Macaca mulatta: one gene and its partners. The protein of the gene in region 2 purifies or fractionates together with the protein of the main gene of each other region. This does not show direct contact. Links are inferred from orthologs where the notes say so. Each region holds a gene or a part of one and is shown on either strand. Other genes may lie near its edges.

The links.
Region 1: the proteins of FBL (region 2) and C1QBP purify together in Homo sapiens (affinity purification with mass spectrometry; 4 studies listed by BioGRID and IntAct, counting the BioPlex papers as one, with this or other methods). This does not show direct contact. The link is inferred for Macaca mulatta from reciprocal best matches to the Homo sapiens genes FBL and C1QBP.
Region 3: the proteins of FBL (region 2) and NOLC1 fractionate together in Homo sapiens (co-fractionation; 3 studies listed by BioGRID, with this or other methods). This does not show direct contact. The link is inferred for Macaca mulatta from reciprocal best matches to the Homo sapiens genes FBL and NOLC1.

The regions. Positions count from the first base shown.
Region 1 is NC_133421.1:6,940,176-6,943,921, forward strand, and holds the start of C1QBP (complement component 1 Q subcomponent-binding protein, mitochondrial), read right to left. Parts: upstream 2,245-3,746; 5' UTR 2,192-2,244; coding exon 1,960-2,191; intron 1,377-1,959; coding exon 1,226-1,376; intron 1-1,225.
Region 2 is NC_133424.1:50,974,385-50,978,130, forward strand, and holds the start of FBL (rRNA 2'-O-methyltransferase fibrillarin), read right to left. Parts: upstream 2,630-3,746; 5' UTR 2,551-2,629; coding exon 2,541-2,550; intron 1-2,540.
Region 3 is NC_133414.1:114,260,035-114,263,780, reverse strand, and holds the start of NOLC1 (nucleolar and coiled-body phosphoprotein 1), read right to left. Parts: upstream 2,716-3,746; 5' UTR 2,694-2,715; coding exon 2,574-2,693; exon of another isoform or gene 2,539-2,573; coding exon of another isoform or gene 2,497-2,538; intron 1-2,496. UniProt on the Homo sapiens protein: Nucleolar protein that acts as a regulator of RNA polymerase I by connecting RNA polymerase I with enzymes responsible for ribosomal processing and modification.

The DNA of each region.
Region 1 (3,746 bases), on a different chromosome or scaffold from region 2:
AGGCTGAAGCAGGAGAATTGTCCGAATCCGGGAGGCAGAGGCTGCAGTGAGCCAAGATCGTGCCACTGCACTCCATCCTGGGTAATAGCAAGACTCCGTGGGGTGGGGAGGAAGCTACAAATTGTATGATTCCATTTATATGAAATGTCCAAAAGAGGCAATCCATAAAGTAGCTTAGTGATTACCTGGGGTGGCTAGAGGGAGGAATAATGAGTGACTGCTAATAGGTATTGTTTGGGGATTGACAACAATGTTCTAGAATTAGGTAGTGGTAACCGATGCATAATTCTGTGAGGACTAAGAACCACTTAATTTAATAAACTTCAATAAATGGGTAAATTTTATGCCATATAAATTAAATCACATTAAAGCTGTGATTTTAAAAAAGAATTATATATACATCATAAGGTCAATTATAAAGAAAATTCAATTTATTTATTTATTTATTATTTTTTTGAGATGGAGTCTTGCTCTGTCCCTCAGGCTGGAGTACAGTGGCGCCATCTCGGCTCACTGAAACCCGGGGGTTCAAGCGATTCTCCTGCCTCAGCCTCCTGAGTAGCTGGGACTACAGGTGCTTGCCACCACACCCTGTTAAAATTTTTAGTAGAGACAGGGTTTCAGTGTTAGCCAGGATGTTCTCGATCTCCTGACCTCATGATCTGCCGTCTCTGCCTCCCAAAGTGCTGGGATTATAGGCGTGAGCCACTGCACCCAGCCTCAATTTAAAAATCTGGAAGATGACAAATGTTTATCTGTGTAATGAGATTATGGATGACTATAAAGCAGAAAAGTGTAAACACTAACAGTTTAGGAGAAGGTGGGGCACCTGACTTAGGTCACAAACTCCCCGCCTCTGATGGCAGCCCTTATCTACAGTGGAACCCCATCCTGTTACATATAAGTTACATGCCTTGCATTTTCACCCAAGCTAAACATTACAGAGAGCAGGGTGCTACTGTATCAGGGCTGTAAATCAGAGATCAAACAGATTCTGTCAGTACTTTTTTGCGCTACATTTTTGTCTCCTTAGTAACCAGCCCACAGCAAATTTGTGTTCAGTGAATGGACTGCCTGGACCTTATGAAGCTGTCCAATTGAATCCTTCACTCTCTTGAAAACCATTTATCCACACCTGAACTCAAGGCTCTTCTAGGGATGACTCAGGACGGGTCTTGCAAGGTTAAGGGAGTCGGTGCCCTGGGATCCCCAGACCAGTACTTACTTTTCCCCGGCAACTTTCCGCACTAATTTCGCTTCTGTCCCATTCAGTTCCAGCTCCCAACCTCCAGACATCTTAGGGAGGGTTTTATGCTTCTGGATTTTTCTTTCCTCCTCAATTTCATCCTTCAGGAAATCAACAAAAGCTTTGTCTCCTAGAAAAGAAATCCATATACATAAAAAGGAAAGCCAGTTAGTCTAAAACATAAAACTATTACCCTGGTTATCGCAGCCAGAAACCTGGACTATTTCTAATCTCTCTGCTATTACAGTTACTCTAGAAGCCTCAGTTTCCTTATCTGTAAAAATACCATAATATTAGTGGGAAGCTGAGCCTGATGCTGGAAAAGTGATTTCCAACAATGAACGCATTACCACTTTCCGCTATAAAGCAGAAGAATTTCCGATCATCCTCTTCCACTTGCCAAACGATAGTTGTATCGTATGCTATTTTCAAACACGACCTTGGGCTTTCCCAAAAGTCCACTTTCGAGAGAATAAGACTAAGGATGAAGGTACCCTCTAGTATTTAATTTTATTCACCCCCCTACCAACAGAAAATGAAACTGGTGGATAGGGGAGGTGGGGGGAATATGATCACACGTGGGTTTAACCCGCTGGTTGCCAATCAATGGAAAAATGTCCCAGACCTCGGAGGTCGGTTGCAGGCCCCACTCCTGGTCTTTTCCCCTCCGTGAACCGCAAACCACACCCCTGGCCCGCGTGCGCGAACCTCACCTTCAGTGTGCAGCAAGCCGCAGCCACAGCCACAGGCGCAGGGTCCTCGAGGCCGCAGGAGGCCCGGCCGCCGCTCGGAACCTGTGCGCACGCTGAGCAGCCCGAAGGGCCGGGCGCACAGCCGGGGCGCCGGCTGCAGGAGCTGCCGGAAAGGCGAGGCGGGCGCGGCAGCGCGGAGGCTGGGGACGGCGGAGCCCAGCACACGAGGCACGCAGCGCAGCAGAGGTAGCATCGCGCAATCCACTGCGAACACGTGCAGATGCAAAGGACAACCCAGGCCCAAGTACCCCGCGACCTAAAGCGCCGCCGGAAGCCCCGCCCTTGCCCGGAAGCGCTTCCCGCGCCGGCGCACTGAGGACCTAAGGCCCCAGGCGGAATCGCGCCTTCTGCTGGAGGCCTCCTGTGCAGCCCGGGAAGCCTCGAATCCGGTTTCCGGAGCCTTCTTGCTGCGCTGGCCTGAGTCCTCTGTCCGAAGCTGTTTAATTATTTCTAGTGGCCGCTTCCACCTACTGTTTTCAAGGCACGCCAGGCTTTTGGGCTGTGTGGAATGCACTCTTGTCTTCCCCCAGCTCTCACCAGCCCCTTACACGGTCACTTTCCTCTAGGAGGCTGTGGTGTTATATTATGTATTTATTGGTTTTCATCCCCAGTTCCTGGGTCGTAACTCCCATAGCCCTCGTTACAGTGTTCTGTGATAATGTTGGGTGTGTTAGGCCTCAGGAAACAGACTCTCACTCTCCCCTTCTCCCGCCCTCCTTTCACCCGCCCCAATGCAGGACTCTAATCTCCCACATTTCTGATTATGGGTCTTAAGTCCCTTCCCAGAGAAGGTCCCACCCTCTACCCTGGGGGAAGGGATGCTGATGTCCAGAAGCTTCCATAAAAACCCATGAGGACAGGGTTTGCAGAACCTCTGATAGCTGAATACGTGGAGGTTCCTGGAGGGTGGTGGCCCAGGGACGGCGAGGAAGCTCGGAGCTTCTTCCCCACTGCCCACCCTGCTCATCTCATCTGTATCCTTGGTAATATCCTTTATATGAAACCGGTAAAAGTGTTTCCCTGAGTTCTGTGAGCTGCTCCAGTGAGTTAATACAACCCAAAGAGGGGGGTCGTGGGAACCCCCACTTGAAGCGGGCTGGTCGGAAGTTTCAGAGGCCCAGACTTGCCATTGCTGTCTGAAGGTCGGGGCGGTCTTGGGGACTGAGCCCTCAACCTATGGGATCTGACACTGTCTCATGGGATCTGACACTGTCTCCAGGTAGATAATGTTGGGATTGAATTGGAGGACACCCCGCTCGTGTCTGCTGCTTAGTGTGGAGGGAAAAAACCCAAACCTTTGGTCACAGAACTCTTCTGTGCTGATTGTTGTAAGAGCAAAGGAAGAAGTCAGGGTTTTCCTGAAAGAGGCCTTCCTAGAACCTCCTTTTTTCCATCGGCTTAGAACTCATGCTTGTGCGCACCCAGCCCTTAGGCTTCATTCTCTTTTCAACAGAAACCTCCTGGCATTGCTGGTTTTAACCGGGTTAAACCCAACCAGACTGTGACATCCTGAAGGGCAGGATCCATGAGTAATTTCTGTGACCTTCCCTCTCTGCACCTCCGACCCTGCATCCAAGTTCTAATGGAACATCATTTTTCTGGGGACAAGAAGCCGGCTTGTATCATTTAGATAGGTCCAGAAGCTTCCATAAAAACCCAAGGACAGGGTTTGGAGAGCCTCTGATAGCTGAATACGCGGAGGTTCCTGGAGGGTGGTGGCCCAGGGAGGGCGTGGCAGCTCGGAGCTT
Region 2 (3,746 bases):
TGTCCAAGTGTTCTCATTGTTCAATTCCCACCTATGAGTGAGAACATGCAGTGTTTGGTTTTTTGTTCTTGCAATAGTTTGCTGAGAATGATGGTTTCCAGCTGCATCCATGTGCCTAACAGCACTCAGATCTCATTATTTTCTTGCCCAAACCCTCCAACAGTTTTCCAAAGCCAGGACCTTCATTTAGGGGAGATGCCACAGCTAGGTTTATGAAAGTCTCAACCCAGGCCTAATAAAAAGGAAGTACTGGCATGTGCACGGGGCGGAGTGGGCAGGAGTGTAAACTTTCTTTTTTTTTTTTTTTGAGACGGAGTCTCGCTCTGCCACCCAGGCTGGAGTGCAGTGGCCGAATCTCAGCTCACTGCAAGCTCTGCCTCCTGGGTTCACGCCATTCTCCTGCCTCAGCCTCCCGAGTAGCTGGGACTACAGGCGCCCGCCACCTCGCCCGGCTAGTTTTTTGTATTTTTTAGTAGAGACGGGGTTTCACCGTGTCAGCCAGGATGGTCTCGATCTCCTGACCTCGTGATCCGCCCGTCTCGGCCTCCCAAAGTGCTGGGATTACAGGCTTGAGCCACCGTGCCCGGCCAACTTTCAATCCCAGATACTCAAAACATCTCATTTCAGGTCCTGGAGCTTTTTGGGGGAAAATGTACCAAAAGTACCCACTCCTCAGAAAAAACACATGTTCACACAAACTTTTCCAGTAAGTTCTTTTTTGGGGGGAAGGGGGGGTTCCACAAACTCCCTGATTTAAAATCTGCTTTCCTTCCACAGCCTTCTCCATCTCAAAAATGGCAATTCCATCCTTCCAGCTACACACCCCCAAACCCTTGGTTATCCTTGACTCTGCTCACACACCCACATACAATCTGTTGGTTCTGTCTTCAAAAGCATGTAAAACCGTCAGCATGTCCACTGCTTCCATCCTGGTCCACCACACCACCTCCTAGATTACAGCAACAAGCTTCCCACCGATTTGCCTGCTTCCACATTTGCCACCCTGAGGTCTTTCACACATGGAAGCAAGAAGAATCCCTTTTAAAAATGTCAGACTGCACCACGCCCCTGCTCAAAAGCTCCCAAAGGGTTCTCTCACTCAGACTAAAATCCTTACTAAAGAGCTAACACCTGACAACTTTTACAACTTCACATTCTACCACACAACGGAAGAAGGTTGGAAGAAGGGGTATCCTCCATTTCTGAGGGAATCATAGACCAGGATGCCTGCAGGCAAGTCAGGATCTCAATAGGAGAGATACCTGGCCTACAATCCCTCAGCCCACTTCATCAGGAGATCCCCCAAACACGGAAGAGAAAGGGAGGTTGGGAGAAGGGCACGGATCCACAAATCTCCTGCCAGGTGACCCCAATCTCTCCACACAAACACACACAAAAAAGAAAAATAAAGCCTGTTCCAGGAAAACAGACCCTTTGGGCCATGGTGGAAAATTCTCCAAACTCAATGAAGCAAGTTCTCACACAGACGAGTGGGGGTTGGGCAGGCCAGATGGAGGAAGTGCTCAGACACCACGGAGAAGGATTCTAATTTTGTTCTCTTTGAGAAAGATAAAGGCAACAGCTAGAGCCAATACTATTATGTCAAGCACTGTGCTATTTTTTTTTTAAACGTCGCTTAATCCTAACTGGCGCCTTTTTATTGATGAGAAAACAGAGGCTCAGAGAGGTAAAGCCACTTGCCCAAGGTCACACAGCAGGCTAAGAAGCTGAGCCAGAACTGAAATACTAAACTGAGGCCCTTCTGCTGTCAAAGCCAGGACCCTCATCATTCCACCATGAAGGCAGTGGGTTCAGCAGAATCTAATGGAAAATCGAAAGAATAAAACCACTTACGTCCTGTGACAGCCACCCACCCCCCTACCCCAATCTAATGCCGAGCTTGTTAAGTCTCGCCCCGGAGGTGGAAATCTTAGTCCCCAAATCTCCACTCCATCCCTGGGGATCCGCCCCCCTGTAAGTGCAGAAGGCGGGAAAGTGAGCCAGAGTGCCGCACACGGCCAACCGAGGAGTCCTCCGCTCCGGCCCACTCGGAAAAGCTGGGTTGGGGGATAAGGGGATGGTGGTGGTGGCAGCGACAGGGAAGGCAAATAGGGGCTTCCCACACACATCTCCAGGACCCAAGGTCAGGAACTCTCCATCTCCGACCCAAGGCTGATTCCCAAAACACGCCCAGCGATCCAAGACTCCAGATGCCGGGATCCAGACTCTAGTCCAAGACTCCTGAGTGCCGCCTCCTGCCCAATATCCAAAATCCCTATTAGACGGCCTCAAAGAGACGAACGCCAGGTCAAGACCCCCAATGCCAGGCCCAAGGCCTTCTTCGACTCACGACCGTGACCTCCGAAGCCAGTCAATAACCCCTAGACCTCCTGGAATCAGGATTCCCCTTCCCACAAGAGACCGGATCCGTGCTCAGAACCCCTGCCCCCAGGCCAAGGCCCCACCCCTCCGATTCTGGCCTGGCACCCGGATTCCCGCCCGGCCTCCGTCCCTGATCCCGGACCCCACCCCAGCCTGACCTGGCTTCATGGTGAGCCCGGGTTTGTGCGGCTCCGGAGCCCGCGGCGTTCACAACTCCACGAGTCCGGGGCTTTCGCACGTGGAAAAGAGCGCAGGCGCGCGGCGACGTGCAGCGCGTGACGCAACCACGTAGCCCCGCCCCGGCCCCCTGCCCCGCTTGGAGCTCGGCGCACGCACAGTGGGCGAGGAATCTCGAGCCTATCGAAACTAAGCCGGTTACCCTCACTCTCTGCCTTCCCAGCCTTTGCTTGTGCAGCGGTCTCCCTAAACTCGCTTCCGGTTTCCTCTTCCCCAGTGCGAGCACCCCAATAATCAGGGCTCATAGCGAGGCCTTCCCACGGGCTGTGCCCTCTGCCCCCTCTTTTGTATTTCTAACTCCCTGGGGTCCCTGTACACCCAAAACGGCTTCCCTGACACATTTCCAGCGCCAAGAACAGTGACCGACTCTGTGCTTCCATTCATACATCCGAAAAACATTTACCGTGCCCCTCATGTATACCAGGCGCTGTTCTAGGAGCTGGGAATACAGCGGTGTACGAGACCTAAGAATCTCCACTCTCGGCCGGGCGCGGTGGCTCAAGCCTGTAATCCCAGCACTTTGGGAGGCCGAGACGGGCGGATCACGAGGTTAGGAGATCGAGACCATCCTGGCTAACACAGTGAAACCCCGTCTCTACTAAAAAATACAAAAAACTAGCCGGGTGAGCTGACAGGCGCCTGTAGTCCCAGCTACTCGGGAGGCTGAGGCAGGAGAATGGCGTGAACCCGGGAGGCGGAGCTTGCAGTGAGCTGAGATCCGGCCACTGCGCTCCAGCCTGGGCAAGAGAGCCAGACTCCGCCTCAAAAAAAAAACAAAACAAACAAACAAACAAACAAACAAAAAAGGAATCTCCACTCTCCTGGAGTTAATCTTTTTAATGGAGGAAATGGACACCAAACATGTTGAATGTTAGAAGGCAGTAAGTGCTTTGGAGAAAATCACGGCAGGGAAAGGGGATAGAGATTTTGGAGGGCAAGTGATTTTTGTTTTTTTGGCATGGTGGTCAGGGAATGCATCAGGTGACTTTTGAGCTAAAGAGCTGAAGGAAGTGAGGAGTGAGGCATGCACCTATCTAGGGGAAGGGAGTTCCAGGCAGGGAAGAGATCTGCAGATGCAGAGGCCCTGAGGAAGGAAAGATACGGGAAGTTGGAGAGAAAATGAGGAG
Region 3 (3,746 bases), on a different chromosome or scaffold from region 2:
TGGGCAGATCACCTGATCAGGAATTTGAGACCAGCCTGGCCAGTATGGTGAAACCCCATCTCTACTAATGATACAAACATTAGCTGGGCGTGGTGGTGGGCGCCTGTAATCCCAGCTATCCAGGAGGCTGAGGCATAAGAATCACTTGAACCTGAGAGGCGAAGGTTGGGGTGAGCTGAGATTGCACCACTGCACTGCCACCTGGGCAACAGAGTGAGACTCTGGGGTACAAAAAAGAGTAAAGGACCAGAGTCAGGACACATGGGAACTCACCTTTGGACAAATTACTTAGTCTCCCTGAGATTATTTTATTCTCTATAAAATGGAGATAATACTACACATCTCATTAAGTTATTGAGAGGATAAGACATAATGCATGTTGGCCGTGTGCAGTGGCTCACACCTATAATCCCAGCACTTTGGGAGGCCCAGGTGGTGGATTTCTTGAGGTCAGGAGTTCAAAAGCAGCCTGGCCAACATGGTGAAACCCCGTCTCTATTAAAAATACAAAAAAAAAAAAAAAAATTAGCTGGGCTTGGTGGGGCACACCTGTAGGCCCAGCTACTTGGGAAGCTGAGGCAGGAGAATCACTTCAGCAGAGGTTGCAGCGAGCTGAGATCATGCCACTGCACTCCAGCATGGCGACAGAGCCAGACTCCGCCTCAAAAAAAAAAAAAAAAAAAAAAAAAAAATTAAATGCATGTAAAGGGCTTAGCTCCTGACCCTTAGTAAACTCTTCACAAAGATTAGCTTTTCTCACATAAAACCATTTCAGAATCCTAATTCTGAGGCCAGGCACGGTGTCTCACGCCTGTAATCCCAGCACTTTGGGAGGCCGAGGCGGGCGAATTTCTTGAGGTCAAGAGTTCAAGACCAGCCTGGTCAACATGGTGAAACCCTGTCTCTAGTAAAAATAAAAAAATTAGCCGGGCGTGGCAGTGCGCGCCTATAATCCCAGCTACTCGGGAGGCTGAGGCAGGAGAATCTCTTGAATTTAGGAGGCGGAGGTTACAATGAGCCGAGATCGCACCATTGCACTCCAGCCTGGGCAACTGCACTCCAGACTGGGCAAGAGACTCCGTCTCAAAAAAAAAACAAAAAAAAAGAATCCTAATTCTGAAATGTCCAATTCCATTCAGTCCACTGTGAAAGTCCTCTCTGCAGTCTCCTTAACAGTCAACTCTAAACAGTTTCATTAAGAAAGCAGTTAGATCACATGGCAGCATGTCCCAGCTTAAGGAAGTTCTGAAGCTGATCTGATTCTTTTGCTTTTGCAGCCTGATTCTGCTAAAAGTGCAAGCCGGCCGGGCGCGGTGGCTCCAGCCTGTAATCCCAGCACTTTGGGAGGCCGAGACGGGCGGATCACGAGGTCAGGAGATCGAGACCATCTTGGCTGACACGGTGAAACCCCGTCTCTACTTTAAAAAATACAAAAAACTAGCCGGGCGAGGTGGCGGCACCTGTAGTCCCAGCTACTCGGGAGGCTGAGGCAGGAGAATGGCGTGAACCCGGGAGGCGGAGCTTGCAGTGAGCTGAGATCCGGCCACTGCACTCCAGGCGGCAGAGCGAGCGAGACTCGTCTCAAAAAAAAAAAAAAAAAAAAGTGCAAGCCATCCTTTCTAGTCATGCTATCATCCCTGCAGAAGACCTCCTCTCTCTCCTCCCTCAAGGTCTCTTCCCATGCAGGGATGTCTGTTGATGTGAAAGATTACAAACCTTTCCCATTCCTGGTTCTCTTACTCTCACATGTGTTTGGAGCATCCTAAATTGCCATCATTATGGTACAGCTTTAACTTCTACAAGATTCCTCTGCACCAGCACTGAGATTGCTACTCTTACACATCATCTTACTGAAATTCACAAAAATCCTATAAAGTGGATGATGACATCCCTGTAGAAAGACTCAGAGAGGTTAAATAAACTGCCCGGGTCACGTATCTAAAAAGTGACAGAGCCTGGTCCCAAACCTAGGTTTGTTTGATTGCATTAGCCAAAGCTCCAAGCCCACTACTATGCCTGCTTGGTAGGGCTGTTTATGATGCTCAATTCTCATTAGTGTAACTCAAAACAAAACTCTGCTTCTACTTTCATTCATTTTCTTCTTTACTAACGACAATCCCGGCCTTCATTCTAAAGCAATTTCACTTGCTTTTGAAGCCCAGTAAATGTAACTGAGGGTAAGGTCAAATCGCGGTTTGCCTCATCCAACGAAAAGCACCCCAGAAGAAACAGATGCCGAAGAACCAACGTCCTCAGTGGGACAAGGCTCTAGCTCCCCGCTGCACTCTGCCAGCCATGTGACTTCGGGCCACGAGGCTCCCACGCTGCCGCCACTGCACGGCTCCACAAGAAAAAAAACAACAAGACTCAGCGATATCTAGTCAGAACTGCGGGAAGAGGAGCGACCGAGGCCGCAGGCTTTCTCTGACCACTGCCCAGGGGTCGGCGTAAAGGCCTTGCAGACACTGAACTGGCGGACCCCACAGACTTCCCCACCTGGAAACCTAAGCACGTCAGGGCCTGAAGCTTTGTGGTCATCTCAGCCCGGTCCCCACGCCAAGCCCGGAACTCACAGCTCCTGTCGCTTTGGCGAACTTATTGGCCACCTCCGAGAGTTGGTTATCGCGGAGGAAGCCGAGCACGAGGGGATACAGGTCGCTAGGAACCACGCGGCGCAAGCCGGCGTCCGCCATCCTCCGGGCAATACGCGTCACTACCGTTGTCGACGCAGCACGACTCAGGAACCCAACAGGGGCAGTGGGCGGGCCCGTGTACGTCATTGCGCCGCGCGGGCGCATAGCGGAAAGGGCGGGGCTCCACAGGACAGTCCCACCTCCACCTCAGAGGTAGGGTAGACGGGAAATCTATAAACTCTTTCCGGTCCCACGTGTATCGCCATCTTGGTTAAGGGCGGAGCCCACTGGCCGCCAGTTTGTGGAGGTGGAGCTCTGACGTCAAGGGTCACGCCCTCGGCGTGGCGGGAAACTCGGGACTTCCCGCGCTGTCTTTCTGGGGGAGGTACCTTTTCTCAGAGCAGCGGTTTCCCGCGCCCCTGCTGGGATTCGGATTCCAGAGTAATGAGTGGACAAGCGGGCTCGAACAGTCCCGTTCTAGACTTGGTCTACAAGATCTCCCAACCGCCCCCACTGGCGCACTGGCGCGGCCAATGGATTCTCGCCCTTCATCTTCATTGCCTCCAACACCCAGGGAGGCCCTTTCTGATACTATCCCAGCCTCCAGACTCCTGCCTCTGCTGCAGAGGCTCCTTCAAGTTATCCGTCGTGAGGGTGGGAGGTGTTGTTCAGAGGATCCTTCAAGTTATCAGTCGTCCAGAGGATCCTTCAAGTTATCAGTCGTGAGGGTGGCAGGTGTTGATTTCCAAGCCGCCCCTCCCATTCCCCTTATATTCCGCCTTAGGTCAGCTCCATGAAGAGGAAAGATGTCTTGCACTAAACCTGAATAGCCCTTCTTTCTCCAGGGTCAGAGTTGCTCCCTTTGTCATGAGTAACTCCAATATCAATGCTCACATCTACCAAGTTAATTCCAAGTTCTGCCACATTTCAGATCATATTAGCAGTTAGCAATCGCTTCGATCCTACCCACTACCCCTTGGCTACCTCCCACTAATGCCGCTCAAGAAGGATAAGGATTCTCATGGAACACACCTCTCCTTTGCCTTTCTCCAGACACTCCCCTCTCCTGTATAAAACTGGCCAGGCACAGTGGCTCACACCTGTTATCTCAAC